Linked DNA regions of Elephas maximus indicus. The protein of the gene in region 1 purifies or fractionates together with the protein of each later gene. This does not show direct contact. Links are inferred from orthologs where the notes say so. Each region holds a gene or a part of one and is shown on either strand. Other genes may lie near its edges.

Evidence for each region.
Region 2: the proteins of GNL3 (region 1) and NOP56 purify together in Homo sapiens (affinity purification with mass spectrometry; 4 studies listed by BioGRID and IntAct, with this or other methods). This does not show direct contact. The link is inferred for Elephas maximus indicus from reciprocal best matches to the Homo sapiens genes GNL3 and NOP56.

What each region holds. Positions count from the first base shown.
Region 1 is NC_064838.1:56,889,583-56,896,686, forward strand, and holds the start of GNL3 (guanine nucleotide-binding protein-like 3), read left to right. Parts: upstream 1-4,020; 5' UTR 4,021-4,117; coding exon 4,118-4,130; intron 4,131-4,732; coding exon 4,733-4,791; intron 4,792-5,408; coding exon 5,409-5,546; intron 5,547-5,662; coding exon 5,663-5,776; intron 5,777-6,009; coding exon 6,010-6,093; intron 6,094-6,698; exon of another isoform or gene 6,699-6,772; intron 6,773-6,849; coding exon 6,850-6,982; intron 6,983-7,023; exon of another isoform or gene 7,024-7,097; intron 7,098-7,104. Other genes in the region: PBRM1 (protein polybromo-1), read right to left, coding at 3,774-3,977. UniProt on the Homo sapiens protein: May be required to maintain the proliferative capacity of stem cells. Stabilizes MDM2 by preventing its ubiquitination, and hence proteasomal degradation.
Region 2 is NC_064843.1:41,254,471-41,261,999, reverse strand, and holds the start of NOP56 (nucleolar protein 56), read right to left. Parts: upstream 3,069-7,529; 5' UTR 2,996-3,068; coding exon 2,993-2,995; intron 2,839-2,992; coding exon 2,749-2,838; intron 2,355-2,748; coding exon 2,240-2,354; intron 1,796-2,239; exon of another isoform or gene 1,728-1,795; intron 1,568-1,727; coding exon 1,406-1,567; intron 1,241-1,405; coding exon 1,042-1,240; intron 937-1,041; exon of another isoform or gene 807-936; intron 703-806; coding exon 515-702; intron 433-514; coding exon 281-432; intron 115-280; coding exon 14-114; intron 1-13. UniProt on the Homo sapiens protein: Involved in the early to middle stages of 60S ribosomal subunit biogenesis. Required for the biogenesis of box C/D snoRNAs such U3, U8 and U14 snoRNAs. Part of the small subunit (SSU) processome, first precursor of the small eukaryotic ribosomal subunit.

The DNA.
Region 1 (7,104 bases):
TTTTTATTACAATTTCTCTGTGCTCTCACTTTGGGGCTGGCTGCTGAGTAACTAGCCTTAAGGCAACTTTACAAGTGTATGCATTTGGCTATGACACAAGAAATGCAACCACAAGTCAAATCATCTGCTACAGACAGAGGGGAAGGGTATGCTTATATACCCAAGAAAAGTCCCACAGTGTTTATAATTTAACAACAGGACCTAACAGTATATTGTGATTTCAAGGATCTTTTTCTAAAGCAAAGAGAAAAAACTCAGATCCAATTGACATTCAACTTCCCTAAGACACCAGCAGCCAAAAGAATGGGAACAGTAGAGCACTGGTTGCCAGCAGTATGGGCAGAAGAGGTGGGGGATCTAACTTTGAGGTGGGGATCTCCTGGGAGCTGAAAGCAGGTGCAAAACATGCAAAAATTTTGCTAAGCAACTAAGAAACAAGAGGAGACTCCTATCTCCTCCTCGGAATTCAAGTTCACAGGGTGTTTAAAAATAATCTACCCTGATGATGCTGCCATCTTCTCGGCTTTGGTTTGTTACACAGCATAGTAGTTTTCAGTTTGCTAAAACTGACTAAAATCTTCAGAGGACTTAGACCAAGGGCAGCCAAGTTTTATTGATTTGTGTTTGTTTTATAAAGGCTGGCGAACTGGCTTTTCAACTCATTAAGACAACGAAACTAAAAACCAGCCCTTTGTTAACAAGGGCACAGGTGGAATGTGATGAACACGAGGAGGGAATTTTTATGGAAAGGATAACAAAAATTAAAGGTGGAAGTTGAAAGGCAAGGAGAACAGAAAAGGGAGAGAGTGTAGATGATCAGTGATTTACCAGCTTTACCAGAGCACAACCAGCGCCTCGAAAAGCCAGTCTCCTCATTATGTCTGAAGGCCAAGTGCAGCCAGTGGGAGAAGGCAGGGCTTTAGAAGTGCTGATTCAATGTTAGTATATTCAAAACTGAAAGAGAAGAACAAGGCAGAGAAAGGGGAAATACAAAGGAAGGGTCAGAAGGAGTAAAAATGAGTACGAGTAGATAGAAAACATTCAAATAGAACTGCTAGAGAAAGAGAACTGAGCTGGAGAAAACAGGTGTATCGGTTCTCTCGCACCTACTAAACTGCTGCAAAGGCTTAGGCTCTAACAGTACCTGCCCTCTCTTCTATTTTAAGCCAAATGCTTTTCATCTACTAAAGGTGCCTCCCATGGAACAAGCGGTCGGTCGCATGCCCCTTCGCTCACACGGAACAACTGTCAAGTCCCGACTGAAGTGTGCCTTCCTAACTGCTCCCTAGTCAAGAAGAGCAGAGTTCAATCACAGAGCCGCAATGGACTGTGAACACGTATCAGAGACTTGCATGTGACACAGAGTTTTGGCAAGCTGGAACAAACTGAGAATGCTCCATGTGAGCAAAGGGTCTGGAAAACTCCTTCCCCCTCAAAAATTCAAAATATGGCAACATTTCTTTCTACAAGTCCTATCAGCATTTGAGAGACACCATCTACGGTTTTACCAAGGTTAAACAAAAAATGCCTTCAACCATTTTGGCAGAAGTTCAAAATTCTATAAATAGTCCAGTGAAAACCAAAAAACATAAATGACTGGAGTGTGTGAATACATATCATGCAAGAATCAAAAATCCTCCAATCATTAATTTATTTAATAAAACAAGAAAAAGACGCAACTTAAGAATAAGTTCCAAATATTTTCTTACCCAAAGATCACATTTTAAAATGTATTTTGAGAGTTTGACAAGAAAGGCAGTGGGGTGAGGTGGGAGGAGCAACAGGACCTGCACTCAGAAGACCTGGATTGGAGCTGAAGGTCTTCCGCCTCAAATTATGTTTGACGTTGGCTGGGTCACAACCTCTCAGGTCTGTTTCCTCACCTCTAAAATGAGAACAGTAAGGCATGCAGTTCTTCCTTGGATTACTGTGACAGGGAAATGATACTATGTATGTTCAAAACACAACAAAAATGTTAAGTTTCAACTCTAAGATTGCATGGTGCCTTGGCACAGAAACTGTCATATTCTTTTTTGTGGCCCCGGCCTACAGAATAGTATTTGGTGCTCAATTTATCTTTTTTATTACAAGTGCCCTTAAGAGGGACCTTGGAAAAAAAAAGTTTACTTTGGCAGTTTAAAAGGCCTGTGAGCATTCCATAACCAATTCTTTTTCCATGAAGAGGAAAGAAAGAGATTCTGGAGCTCAATTCCAAGTTTTAAGATGGCTTTAATTCCACAAACCTGACAACCAACGATTAATTTACAGTGGACAGTAAACAGGAATAACTTTACAAAGTACAAACTGGGAGACTACTTACTCAGTACAGGCAAACGGTGTATTTTGACAATCTATAAACTTCTTGGTACTCTCCTGTATTTCTAGTGCTACTCAGCACGTAGATACAAACTTAAAACAAAAAGCTCAAAGGAAACAAAAAACCACCCATAATCCTACTTCCCAGAGTAAATCATCCTTAACGTTGGTGTTCAGAGCTTTTTGTTTTATTCTATGCCTTTGTTGGCCGTTATGTAATTTTTTTAAACAAAAGTGATAAACTGTACATATTATTTTGCTGCCTGTGCTTTAACTTAGAGAAAATTCTTCCAAGTCAACATTCTTCTCCAGGATGTTTGATGGTTTGACAACAATCTATCAAACAGATATACCACAATTTACTAACCTTGGGGATTTTGGTAAATTATGAACATTTGAAGTATTTTGTAACTCCCAAAGCCAAAGTGGCTAAGCCCCTTCCATCCATCCACAACACGTATTTGTTACTGTTTTAATCCGAAATACCTTCTTGAAAAAAAACTTTCCAATCTTCGGTTTTGGATCTTAAAATACCTGCAATCTGTTAACAAGTAATAAGGCAAAAATAACACTACTCTTAAATTTGTAGTGAATCGTATTTGCTTCTGAATTATATTTGTGGAAAAGTGCACCAGTAAGTGGAAAAAATTACCTAAAATAATTTTTGAGAAGCCCTAGTTTGTCGGAAAATAAGTTAAAGTTTTACGCCAACGCCTGTTTCTATAACTACAATAAGAACTTGTAAATACAATACTGTGTATCTGTGATTTGCTTTTCAGGATTCCTTCTGTATTTCTGCCACCCTTTCTCTCCTTTTAAATCACAAACATAGTCCACATAGTAACAAAATTACCCTTCTCTTTCAGTAGAACATTTTAAGAGATGGAAAAATATTAAAAGCCTGGAATGTACACAGTTCCAAAAGCCCGATTTTTTGTGATATTGCAGACGAGACAATTATCTGGCCTCTACTATAAATACAAATCCCATTGACAAAAACACTCGGTCTGAACACGGTCATCTGGAAAGCGTGTGAAAACAAACAAACAAAATCATTGAGCGTTAGTGTCCGAATCATCCAAAAAAAAAAAAAAAGCGGGCCTGGCCGGCGGAGGAAATGGGGACTTTGCCGACCTGTCACTGGTACGAGGGACTAGGGAAACGTTGACAGCTTGGAGCTATCCCGCGGCCAGCGCTCGGCCAGCCCCGGGGCGGGAAAGAAGGGCGCGGGCAGTACCCGGGCCGCGGCGCGCCTTTGTCCCGGCCGGCAGGTGCGGCCAAGCCGCGGGGCCGGTCCCCAAGCCCCGCCGCGCCCCGCCCCGCGCGCCCGGCCCGACCGGCGCGTCCCCACGGCCGGGGCGGGGCCTCCGCCGCTGCTCCCGCCCGCCCGGGCCCACACAAAGGCCCGGCAGCCGGCCGAGGGGAAGCGGCCCCGCCCGACCCGAGCCCGGCCTTACCCCGCCGCTCCGCCGCCTGCAGCCCCGGCCGCCGACCGCCGCGCCCCGCCCCGTGGCCGCCACGGCTGCTGCTATTGCTCCTCCGGCCGCGGCCGCTGCCGTCGCTCCAGCACCCGCCGCCCTCGCCGCCCTCACCCCTCCCGGTGCCGCCGCAAAGCCAGCTCCGCGGTCGCCAAGCGAGCCCGGCTCTGCGCGACAGTGCATGCGCGCGCACGCGGGGCGGCGGCGGCGCGCTTTACGGCGGCAGCGTGAATACGTGACGTTTGGGCCAGGCCTCAGTTCGCACGTGGCGGCGGCGGAGAGAGGTTGTTGTCGCTGCTGCCATTGTCGTCCCCGCCGCCAGTATGAAGCGGCCGAGTGAGTGGAGGCGGAGGGCGGGCGGGGTTGGAGTAATTCCTGTCTCTGGTGGTCTCTGAAGCTGCCTGGGCGCTCTTCTGCAGCGGCTTGGTCTGCGGTGGCGTACGGGTAGGCCGGGACCTGCGTAGAACCGAGGGTTGGAAGGCCTCACGTCGATACTGCGGATCCGCGGGCTCCTGGTGCAGAAGGCAGGCTGGCTCCGAGGGCGAAAGTCTCGTGAGGCAATACTGTCTGAGCCAACTTTTAGGTCCAGCTTTTTCGCATCCGCGGCCACGTGCAGAGCGGCCCTGTGGGAGAGCTGAGAGCCACCCTCCAAACGTATCGCTGCCCTCCTGCCTTGTGATAGGTGGTGTTTGATGCGAAATGGCTATTTTGAGTCTCCTGCTCTGGTGTGAGATCCCAGTCTAACTTGGGAAGACATTAACGGGGAACTTGGGCCCCAGTCCATACCTATTGCATCAAATTATTTGAATGATATATGCTTTTCTTAAGGACCCCACGTGGGTCTTAGCACAAGAAGAGTTAGACCTATAGCGCAGTTACCAAAAAAACTATGCAGACAAATCATTGGTTTTCAACCCTTTTGCGATGTTTCTTTATAGAGTTGAAGAAAGCAAGTAAACGCATGACCTGCCATAAGCGGTATAAAATCCAAAAAAAGGTGGGTATTGTGCTTGGGGGAGCTATATCATTGAACTGCTTTCTGCGGATCTCTCATCTCGGCGGGAAGTCTGGGTTAACATGATTGAGACTTAGGAGATGGGGGTTGGAGAATAAGCTCTTAGGCAGCAGGAGCAGGGCTGTAGAAAGATGCATTTATTGGGTAATCAAGTCTGTAAACTTCACCTTTCAATAATCTTTGTAAAGAGGTGGAGAAATAGAGCCTGGTGGTGGCTTTTTGTCAGTGCCCCCCCCCCCACTCCTCTTGCTGCCCCTTTATACTTTGGTATGCATGTTCTAACGATCTCTGGTGGTGCAGTGGTCAAACGCAAAAGATCCACAGCTCAAAGGCACCAGCACCTTTTCGGCAGAGAGATGTGGCCGTCTGCTTCTGTCAACAGCCTCGGAAGCCCTGTGGGCAGTTGCGTTCTGTCCTGTAGAGTCGCTTTCGACTTGACATAATGGGTTTATATATGCATTTTGTATGATTCTAATTAAAGCTCCCTTTTTCTATGTCATTTTATAGGGGTCACTAAACTGTAGCTAGATGGGTTTCTCACATGAATTTTGTTTGAGCGGGAAAGTATTTTTGTAAACTCTATATATTCAATATAATAGGTACGGGAGCACCATCGAAAATTGAGAAAGGAAGCCAAAAAACGGGGTCGCAAGAAGCCTAGGAAAGATCCAGGAGTTCCAAACAGTGCTCCCTTTAAGGAGGCTCTTCTTCGGGAAGCTGAGCTAAGAAAACAGCGGGTAAGGTGTTTATTGAAGCTTTGAAGAAATAGTGTGGGTATATGTACTTTTTTCAAAGTAAGGTAACAACACCAAGTCACTTTGCCTCACCCATTTCTCTTATGAATTGGACACAGCTTGAAGAACTAAAACAGCAGCAGAAACTTGACAGACAGAAGGAACAGGAAAAGAAAAGAAAACTTGAAACTCAGCCTGCTGTTGAGCCATCTAGTGGGGAACCTGTAAAGGAGGTATGACCAGGTCTTGTGAGCGAGAGGTAGCGTTCTGATGGAGAAGCAAAAGCACGTACATGGGGTGGGGGTGCTATGCCTCATGGCGGGGAGCGGGGGTGAGTTCAGATTCTGGCATACCTACCTATACTATCAAATGCAGGGCCTATTACCAGCCATGGGAAATGCAAACACAGGTTACAACTGCTGTACTTCTAATTTGATGTCTTTTCCCCCTTGTCTTTATTTTTTAGGAACTTGGGCAAGGCAAAGCAAAGAACAAAGCCAAGTTGGGCAAACAGAGTCCAAAGAAATCATATTGTCAGGAACTTAAAAAGGTATTTTAGTTTAGGTCTGTGTCTAAAAACAGTAATGAGTTTAAGAGACTAGTCGCTCCTCTTTCCTAACCCTGGCATCAACCTTGTAAAAGTGGAAGTAGAGCTCCCTTGAGCTGAAGAATCCTTCAGGCTGGCTTATCCCATTTAGGGCCTTTCCTGTTAGGTTTAGTTAAAGGAAATATTCTTCCTTGGTTATAAATTTTTGCACAGGTGCATGGGGAGCAGTTCACCATAAATATAGTTTATAAAAATAGTGTTTCACGTTAATGTGTTGACACAGCAGTTTAAAGATTGAAGAAAGTACACAAAAATAGTGTGAAAATAAGACTCTTGAAAGTGCTTTGCTGAAACCCAAGTGAAGGAAGTCAACTGAAGTCAGAAGTGTCTTTTAGGTGTAGTAGCTCCTCAGCACTCCCATCCCTAACCACAGCCCCCCGCCCCCCCATAGGTGGACAGACCCTGGTGACTATGCTCCTCAACACTTCTAGGGCTTATCAGACTACATCATTCACTATGGGAAGATTGTACATTCAGTTAGGAGTATTTTCCACTTTTGAAATTCATTTCGATGAGGACCCTGAGCAAGCCTATGTATTTTCTTGTGTGAGAAATGATGACATATAAACATTCTTCATACCCAAGTGAAGACATGAGATCCAACTCTGAGCTCACCATGCTACAAAGTGGATAATGCCAACACGTTTCTGTTAAGGGTGTTCCTGGAGCAGGAGAAGTGATGTGTTTCTGCCTTGACAGGTGATTGAGGCCTCAGATGTTGTGCTAGAGGTGTTGGATGCCAGAGACCCGCTTGGTTGCAGGTGTCCCCAGGTAGAAGAGGCCATTGTCCAAGGTGGACAGAAAAGACTAGTACTTGTGTTAAATAAATCAGGTGAGTGAAACGAATGCCCTTTGTCTTGCGTGTGCACTGGCGAGGTATGAGGAAAATATGTGAACAGTCTGATTGTCAGTGAAGACTGATAAGATCCAACTCTGACCTCAGAGCCAGTGCAC
Region 2 (7,529 bases), on another chromosome or scaffold:
CCCTCACTGGTACCTGAACAGGGCTTTTTCTGCCCCAAGGATCTGCACTGTGGATGCTGGATACTTGGCCAGGTTGGTGAGGCTGCCAGCATGTGCAATGAGACGTGCACCTACCTGGAGAAAGACACAAAGAAGTCAGAAGCTGAAACTGCTGACCTAAGAATTACATAATCCCTGCTTACCTCCTCCCCATCATGCACAACTAGGGAAGATATGGCAAGTCAGAAAATACAGCAGCGCAGACTTACATGGTAACATTCCCGAGCCCCCCATGACATACCGCTTCCCCAATGAGAGCTGACAAGCTGGGGGCTACTTGGCTCATCTTGGAGCGCAGGTAAGTATGTAAGCTCTGGCGGTATTCTGATAGAGACACCACTCGGCTGGAGAAGCTCTCGATGTTTATCAAGTCGATGGCAGATATGTCCATGCCTAGAGAACACCAAATGTGAATGCAGGAACCAGACATTCAAAGCCCCACACGTTACACCTGGCTGCCAGGCTCTGCACTGACCCATGGAAGACCGTGAGGCATCTAGAATGGCCTTGGCCTTGGCCCCGTCCATAGTCAGTTCCTCCAGCTTCTCCAACTTGTCTTCGTTCAGCTCTTTGCGGTTTCCAATGAATTGGGCAAGGCGGCAGTACGTGGCATTGTCATTGACAATCTTCACCAGCTCCGGAAAGTGATAGCCATACCACTCCCTGCAAGGAGCCACAGTCACTCCCTAGACCAGCTACCACATCTCCCCTTATCTACTACATGTCTGGAAAAAATGGGACCAGTCAGATTTAAAGCCTCCTCAATGCCATGTTGCCCCATTCACAATACAAACCAGGCACAAGGCCTGGGCTGAGGTGTATATGGGGTACTTTATCTGCCTCCCCTTTCTATACAGTCAGTGCAAAAACACAGCCTGTGGTAAGCACAAGGAGGCCAAACCCCTTCCCCACCTGGTTCTTCCCAGACCTGATCTAAGGATTCAAAATTAGCTAAACTACAGGCCAAAGACCCCACTTTCTGGGACTGCCCCTGTACTTTACCTGACACGCATAGAGAAGGTATTGATGTCTTTATCCAGCTGGTCCAGAAGGCTAATGGACTGAATGATCATATTGTCCACCCGGTTCACATTAAACTTAACTTTGGCACGAGAGTAGCTGTGTCCCAGACCAAGCTGAGCTTTACAAGCAGACAGGTCAGTCAGACCCTTCACCAGATTATGGAAGTGCAGGCGAATTCCTGGAGAAGGGTAGGGCTATGAGCATGGAAAGGGCCTGAGCTAGCTCCGCACCCATCAGGCAAGCAAGGCCTCCAGAAGTAATCTTAAGCACCTTCAGGACGCCACCCCCCTCCCCCGCCGGCCAAGTTTGTCAAGAATGGCATAAGTGCCACAGATGTTCTCACCTCGCAGGATCTCAGCTATCACACCTCCAGTCTGGCAGTTGTACCCTAACTCCTCCTGTATAGCAGCACCAATCTTGGGGTCCCCAACTCCCAAGACTACTTTCTTTTTTTTGGATGGCAGGTATGTCTCCAAGAACAGGCGAAGATCCTCATGAACAACACCTCCAGGTAAAAAAACACCGCTTACTAACATGCTTTAGGACATTTAAAGTATAGAAGGGATCCTGTCTTGTTACAGAGCTGATTAAGTGATAGCGGATCTTAAACTGGTTCTGCAGAGCATGCTGGGATGCCATGCCTAGGCACCCTCCCCCTTCAGGCATTGCTCAGAGACATGGAGACATCAGTGACTGCACTCAGGGGATTGACAGACACAAGTCATCACTGCAAAGCCTGGCTCAACTAGGGGAGGAACAGGGCTCAGGTCCAACAGCACCAGTTTGGAATATACAAATAAAGCTTAAAACACAAGCTCCAGCATGATAAAAGCAGCAAGTATCTTATTTGTCTCCTGGGACCACAACTGTTTCAGAACAGTCTTCTTGGCTTACATGTATTCAACTACATGAATGATGCAGCAGGGAACCCTTCAGGTGACTGGGTTTAGGCAAGCTTCGGGCACAAATGGGCTTTAAACCGGGGTCCCCCACCCACCCAAGATTTCATTTAAGAATTATTTACCACCCCAATGCTCGTAAGAAAACAAAATCTCGATTCTAGAGATAGCTTTAAATATGACAGCATTTCGTTTTTTTTTATCACAAATCCCCCAAGAGAACTGCAGCAGGAATCACATATCCTATCTCCCCTAAAACTTCGGGGTGGCCAATTCACCTTCGGACACGGCGTTGGCATTTTCCAAGGCAACGTGGGAGGAGGCGAAGGGACAAAAGGCCACGAGACGAACGATGTTGTGGAACTTGCCCAGATTGAGCACGCACTCCTCCACCTGGGGTGGGAGAAACAGGATGAGCGGTTTCCTTCCGACACTCTTTGACTATTTTGACTCTAAACCGCAGTGAAGCCGAGGTTCTCAGGCTTGGACACATCCAAGAACCACCTAGAAAGCTTTTAAAACACAGGGATGCCTGGGCTCCATCTCTCAAGGTTCTGCTTTAGTCCGTAATGGAAAAGAAATGGCTTATCTAAAAAAGCTCCTAAAGTTATTCTTGTCATGAACCAAGGCGAGGACCCTGGCTCTACAGCTCTCCAGGCCCGTTCCCCACCCCCACTCCACACAGCCGACCACGTGGGAACGCGCGGTGCATGCTGGGGCCTGCGCTGGGGACTCGCCCGACCGCGCTGCAGCCCCTCCGGCTGCCGAACTCACCGGTTCCACTCACCTGCGGCAGCAGCAAGCTGATCTCCTCCACCTCCTTTACCGCCAACAGCGCGTAGCCGACCGCGTGCTCAAACAGCACGTGCAGCAGCACCTGGAACGGAAGCCGGGGCTCGAGCATCAGCGCGGGCCCAGCGTTCGCCGGGCCCCCGATCCCAAGGCAGACACCGGCTGGGCCTAGGTCCGCGCCAAAGCCTGGGCCCAGGCCACGGCCTTCGCCTCGCCCGCAACCCACAACCAGCCCTCACCATGGCGCTCGCTCCTTGCCCGGCTCGCAATGCGGCGAGCGGGCTCCAGCGCGCGGAACCTGGCCCCGGAGGCCACGCCCTCGCCGAGTCAGCCAATCAGAGGCCGAGGACGGCACCATTTCGGGTCCTCCGGAGGGGTGCATCTGGGATGGTATCGCCTAGAGGGCGAGGGCGGCGTGTGGGGAGAGTGGCGCCAAGGGGTAGCCGGCCTTTTCCGGCCTTGCTGCAGCGGGCTGGTGCGGTTGCCGGGGCTGAGCGGGGTGAGGCCGGGCGCTGCAGGCCGCAAAAGCGCTTTTTTCTGGATAACAGTCCAGGTTCTTCATGTTTTGATCATATAAGTTACAGGCAGCAGAGCTCTGTGAAATAGGTGTGGGCTGCACTGCATGGGGCGTGGCGACCATCCCTACAGAAACGGTGGCGGAGCCCGCTCTGGGCTCCACGGGTGGTCTTGGATCCCATACCCCTCCTTCCACGTCCCGCAGGGCTCTCCGTACCCGCCTGCCCTTCAGGGGCGACTCTCCCTCCCCCAGCCCGCCCCCCAAGCCCCGCAGGCCGCGCACCTTTTCCTCCTTCCCGGGACTGGAACCGGGTTTGGGGCCAGCCGGCGTAGACCCTGCAAGAAACGTGCCTCTTGGGGTTTTTTTTTTTTTTTATGTTTAAAAAGCAATTGTAAACTTATTATTGTTGCTTTTAATGAGGGTGGCAGTAAAGTAGAAAAGACCATACCACTTGTTGCTGGGACGGTTTCCTGCTCCCCAGCTCCTTTTGCAGAGCCACGTGTTGCTCGCCCGCGTGGACGGTCCTAGATTCTTCACATCCGAGTGAGGCGAGCTGCTTTCCCGTACTCCAGGGAGGCTTTTGGGCACGCAGAAGTCTGTTTTGAAATTACTCTGGCTTTAATAGTTAATTTTAGAGTTATAAATCGTCCCGTAAGTAGCAAGTTTCCTGGTGAATTTAAATAATAATTTCAAGGGAACTTAATAATTTGAAGTTCCCACAATTAGACTGCATTTATAAATATAAGACATTTATTTTCTTCTTAAGCGATTAAGTTACTTGACAAACAGAACCCATGAAACTTAAAAATATGGGCAGTGATTTTTAAAACTTCATAATCTCAATATTGCTTTTGAAATGTTTGCATTCTGTGTGTTTACCAATTTATCACGAGTCTGAATTAGTTTATTTCACATTTTAGAATGGAGTTGCAAAAATGGATTATTACATAATCCGGTATGTTAAATTCTCTTAAGCCGTATAAAAAAAATGTATAAAATAGATACTTAAAATAGCAAATTAAATAGATGATTCCAAAATGTAGTGGAGAATATTAATGCAGTGACTTTAATTTAGTGTATTACTTCTATACTTCATCCAAAATCTTCCTGGAGTTTCAGGTGTTTCTTTACTGGGGCTGAGATTTTCAAACCAGAAGTCAGAGTCCATTAATGGATTGCAGAATTAATTTACTCAGTCATGGCCAGCATTAAAAAAAAAAAAAAAAAAGATTAAAGAGAATAGAGTAAGGGATAGTGATTTGGAAAACTTTTGTCTCAGCAGTCATACAAATGTATATATGTGTATATGTATGTATGTGTATACACTTACATACATACAAAGGAGTCCCTGGGTGGTGCAAAGTTTTCAAATATACCCAGAGTGCCTCGGAAGAAAGGCCTGGTGATCTGCTTTTGAAAGATCACAGTAAGTTCTACTCTGAAACACCTGGGGTTGCCATGACAACTGGTATATTCTGGTACATATACATATATATATATATGCACACATTTCTGTGTATTAGGTCAGGATATAAAAAACTAGAGAGTCACCCACTGGGCTCAAAGTTAATTAGTCATATTTGGGTTAGATTCACATCCTCTTGCTGTGAAGTAGCTGTGCTGAAATAGTTTGCTGATGACTGTAGAAAAGTGCACTTCAACTAGTATGTTACGAATGCTAACAATTAAATGTGATTATGGCCTAAATGCCACAAATATTCCTTTGGCTTCCTCTCTCCCATTGCCCTCCCCCGTGCTTCCTAACCCTGCCCCAGATGGCGTCTCCACACCCTGTGACGTTACAGACCACCTGTCCCCTCCCCGCAGACTGCTCACTGAGCCCACCGCTCCTTGCCTGCTTCAGGTCTTCACCACCAAAGTGTACTTTCGCAAAACCTTTGGTTTCCCCTTCTCCTAGCCGTCTTCCTCTCCATTGCCAGAATGATCTTTCCAGACAGAACATCCAGTCATGTTGTGTTTGTGAGTGCTCACAGTGGCAGGAAGAAATGGAAATGTTAAGGGCCTTGGTATCATGGAATCACCTATGGTAGCTAGTTTCCAAAGAAGGCCGCTAGTGGTCTGTGCCTCCTCGTATCATGGCCTTGTTAGTCCCCTGCTCTTCCGCACGTTTGACTGGGCTGGTTCTGTGACTTACCCTAAGTGTTCTAAACCAAGCTTTAACCAGAATATGATTCTCTGCCAGCTCTAGGCTTCAGCCTTTTGCATTATTGAGAGCCTTGAGTTGCTTTGGAAGTTCAGCTACTCTGCTGGAGAGACCACATGGAGAGGGGCAGAGGTCTACCTTTCCCAGTGTCCAAGCTGAGCCCATCCTTACAGCCATCTAATATACGTTAAAGTACAAGACCTGCAAGTGAAGCCATTTGGGATGTTCCAGTCCCTCCTGCCATCTATCTGACTGCAGCCCCATGTTGTTGTTGTTGTTAGGTGCTGTTGAGTTGGTTCCAGCTCTTAGCAACCCTACGCACAACAGAGCAAAACACTGCCCAGTCCTGCATTGTCTTCACAGTCGTTGCTATGCTTGAGCCCATTGTTGCAGCCACTGTGTCAATCCATCTTGTTGAGAGTCTTCCTCTTTTTCACTGACCCTCTAACAAGCATGATGTGCTTCTCCAGGGACTGATACCTTCTGATAACATGTCCAAAGTGCATGATACGTAGCCTTGCCATCCCTTCTAAGAAGCATTCTGGTTGTACTTCTTCCAAGACAGATCTGTTTGTTCTTTTTGCAGTCCATGGTATATTCAATATTCTTCACCAACACCACAATTTAAAAGTGTCAATTCTTCTGTCTTCCTTATTCATTGTCCAGCTTTCCATGCATATGAGGTGATTGAAAACACCATGGCTTGGGTCAGGCACACTTTAGTCCTCAAGGCGACATCTTTGCTTTTCAATACTTTAAAGAGGTCTTTTGCAGCCAGTTTGCCCAATGCAATGCGTCTTTTGATTTCTTGACCACTGCTTCCATGGCTGTTGATTGTGGATCCAAGTAAAATGAAATCCTTGGCAACTTCAAACTTTTCTCCATTTGACATGATGTTACTTTATTTGTCCAGTTGTGAAGATTTTTGTTTTCTTTATGTTGAGGTGTAATCCATACTGTAGGCTGTAGTCTTTCATCTTCATCAGTAAGTGCTTCAAGTCCTCTTCTCTTTCAGCAGGCAAGGTTGTCATCTGCATATTGCAGGTGGCTAATGAGTCTCTAATCCTGATGCCATGTTCTTCATATAACCTGGTTTCTCAGATTATTTGCTCAGCATACAGATTGAAAAGGTATGATGAAAGGGCACAACCCTGACGCACACCTCTCCTGATTTTAAACCACTCAGTATCCTCTTGTTCTGTTGGAATGACTACCTCTTGGTCTATGCACGGGTTCTGCATGAGCACAATTAAGTGCTCTGGAATTCCCATTCTTCGCAATGTCATCCATAATTTGTTATGATCCACACAGTTGAATGCCTTTGCATAGTCAATAAAATACAGGTAAGCATCTTTCTGGTATTGTCTGCTTTCAGCCAAGATCCATCTGACATCAGCAGTGATAACCCTCGTTCCACATCCTCTTCTGAATCTCACTGGAATTTCTGGCAGTTCCCTATTAAGGTACTGCTGCATTTTTGAATTATCTTCAGCAAAATTTTATTTGCATGTGATATTAATGGTATCGTTTGATAATTTCCACATTCTGTTGGATCACCTTTCTTTGAAATGGGTACAAATATGGATCTCTTCCAGTTCGTTGGCCAGGTAGCTGTCTTCCAAATTTCTTGGCATAGATGAGTCGGCACCTTCAGCGCTCCATCTGTTTGTTGAAACATCTAAATTGGTATTCCATCAATTCCTGGAGCCTTGTTTTATGCCAGTGTTTTCAGTGCAGCTTGGACTTCTTCCTTCAGTACCATTGATTCTTGATCATATGCTACCTCCTGAAATGGTGGAATGTCAACCAATTCTTTTTGGTACAGTGACTGTGTATTCCTTCCATCTTCTTATGATGCTTCCTGTGTCATTCATTATTTTGGCCATAGAATCCTTCAGTATTTCAACTCGAGGCTTGAATTTTTTTCTTCAGTTCTTTCAGCTTGAGAAATGCCAAGTGTGTTCTTCCTTTTTGGTTTTCTAACTCCAGGTCTTTGTACATTTCATAATATTACTTTATTTTGTCTTCTCGAGCCACCCTTTGAAATCATCTGTTCAGCTCTTTTACTTCCTCATTTCTTCCATTTGCTTTAGCT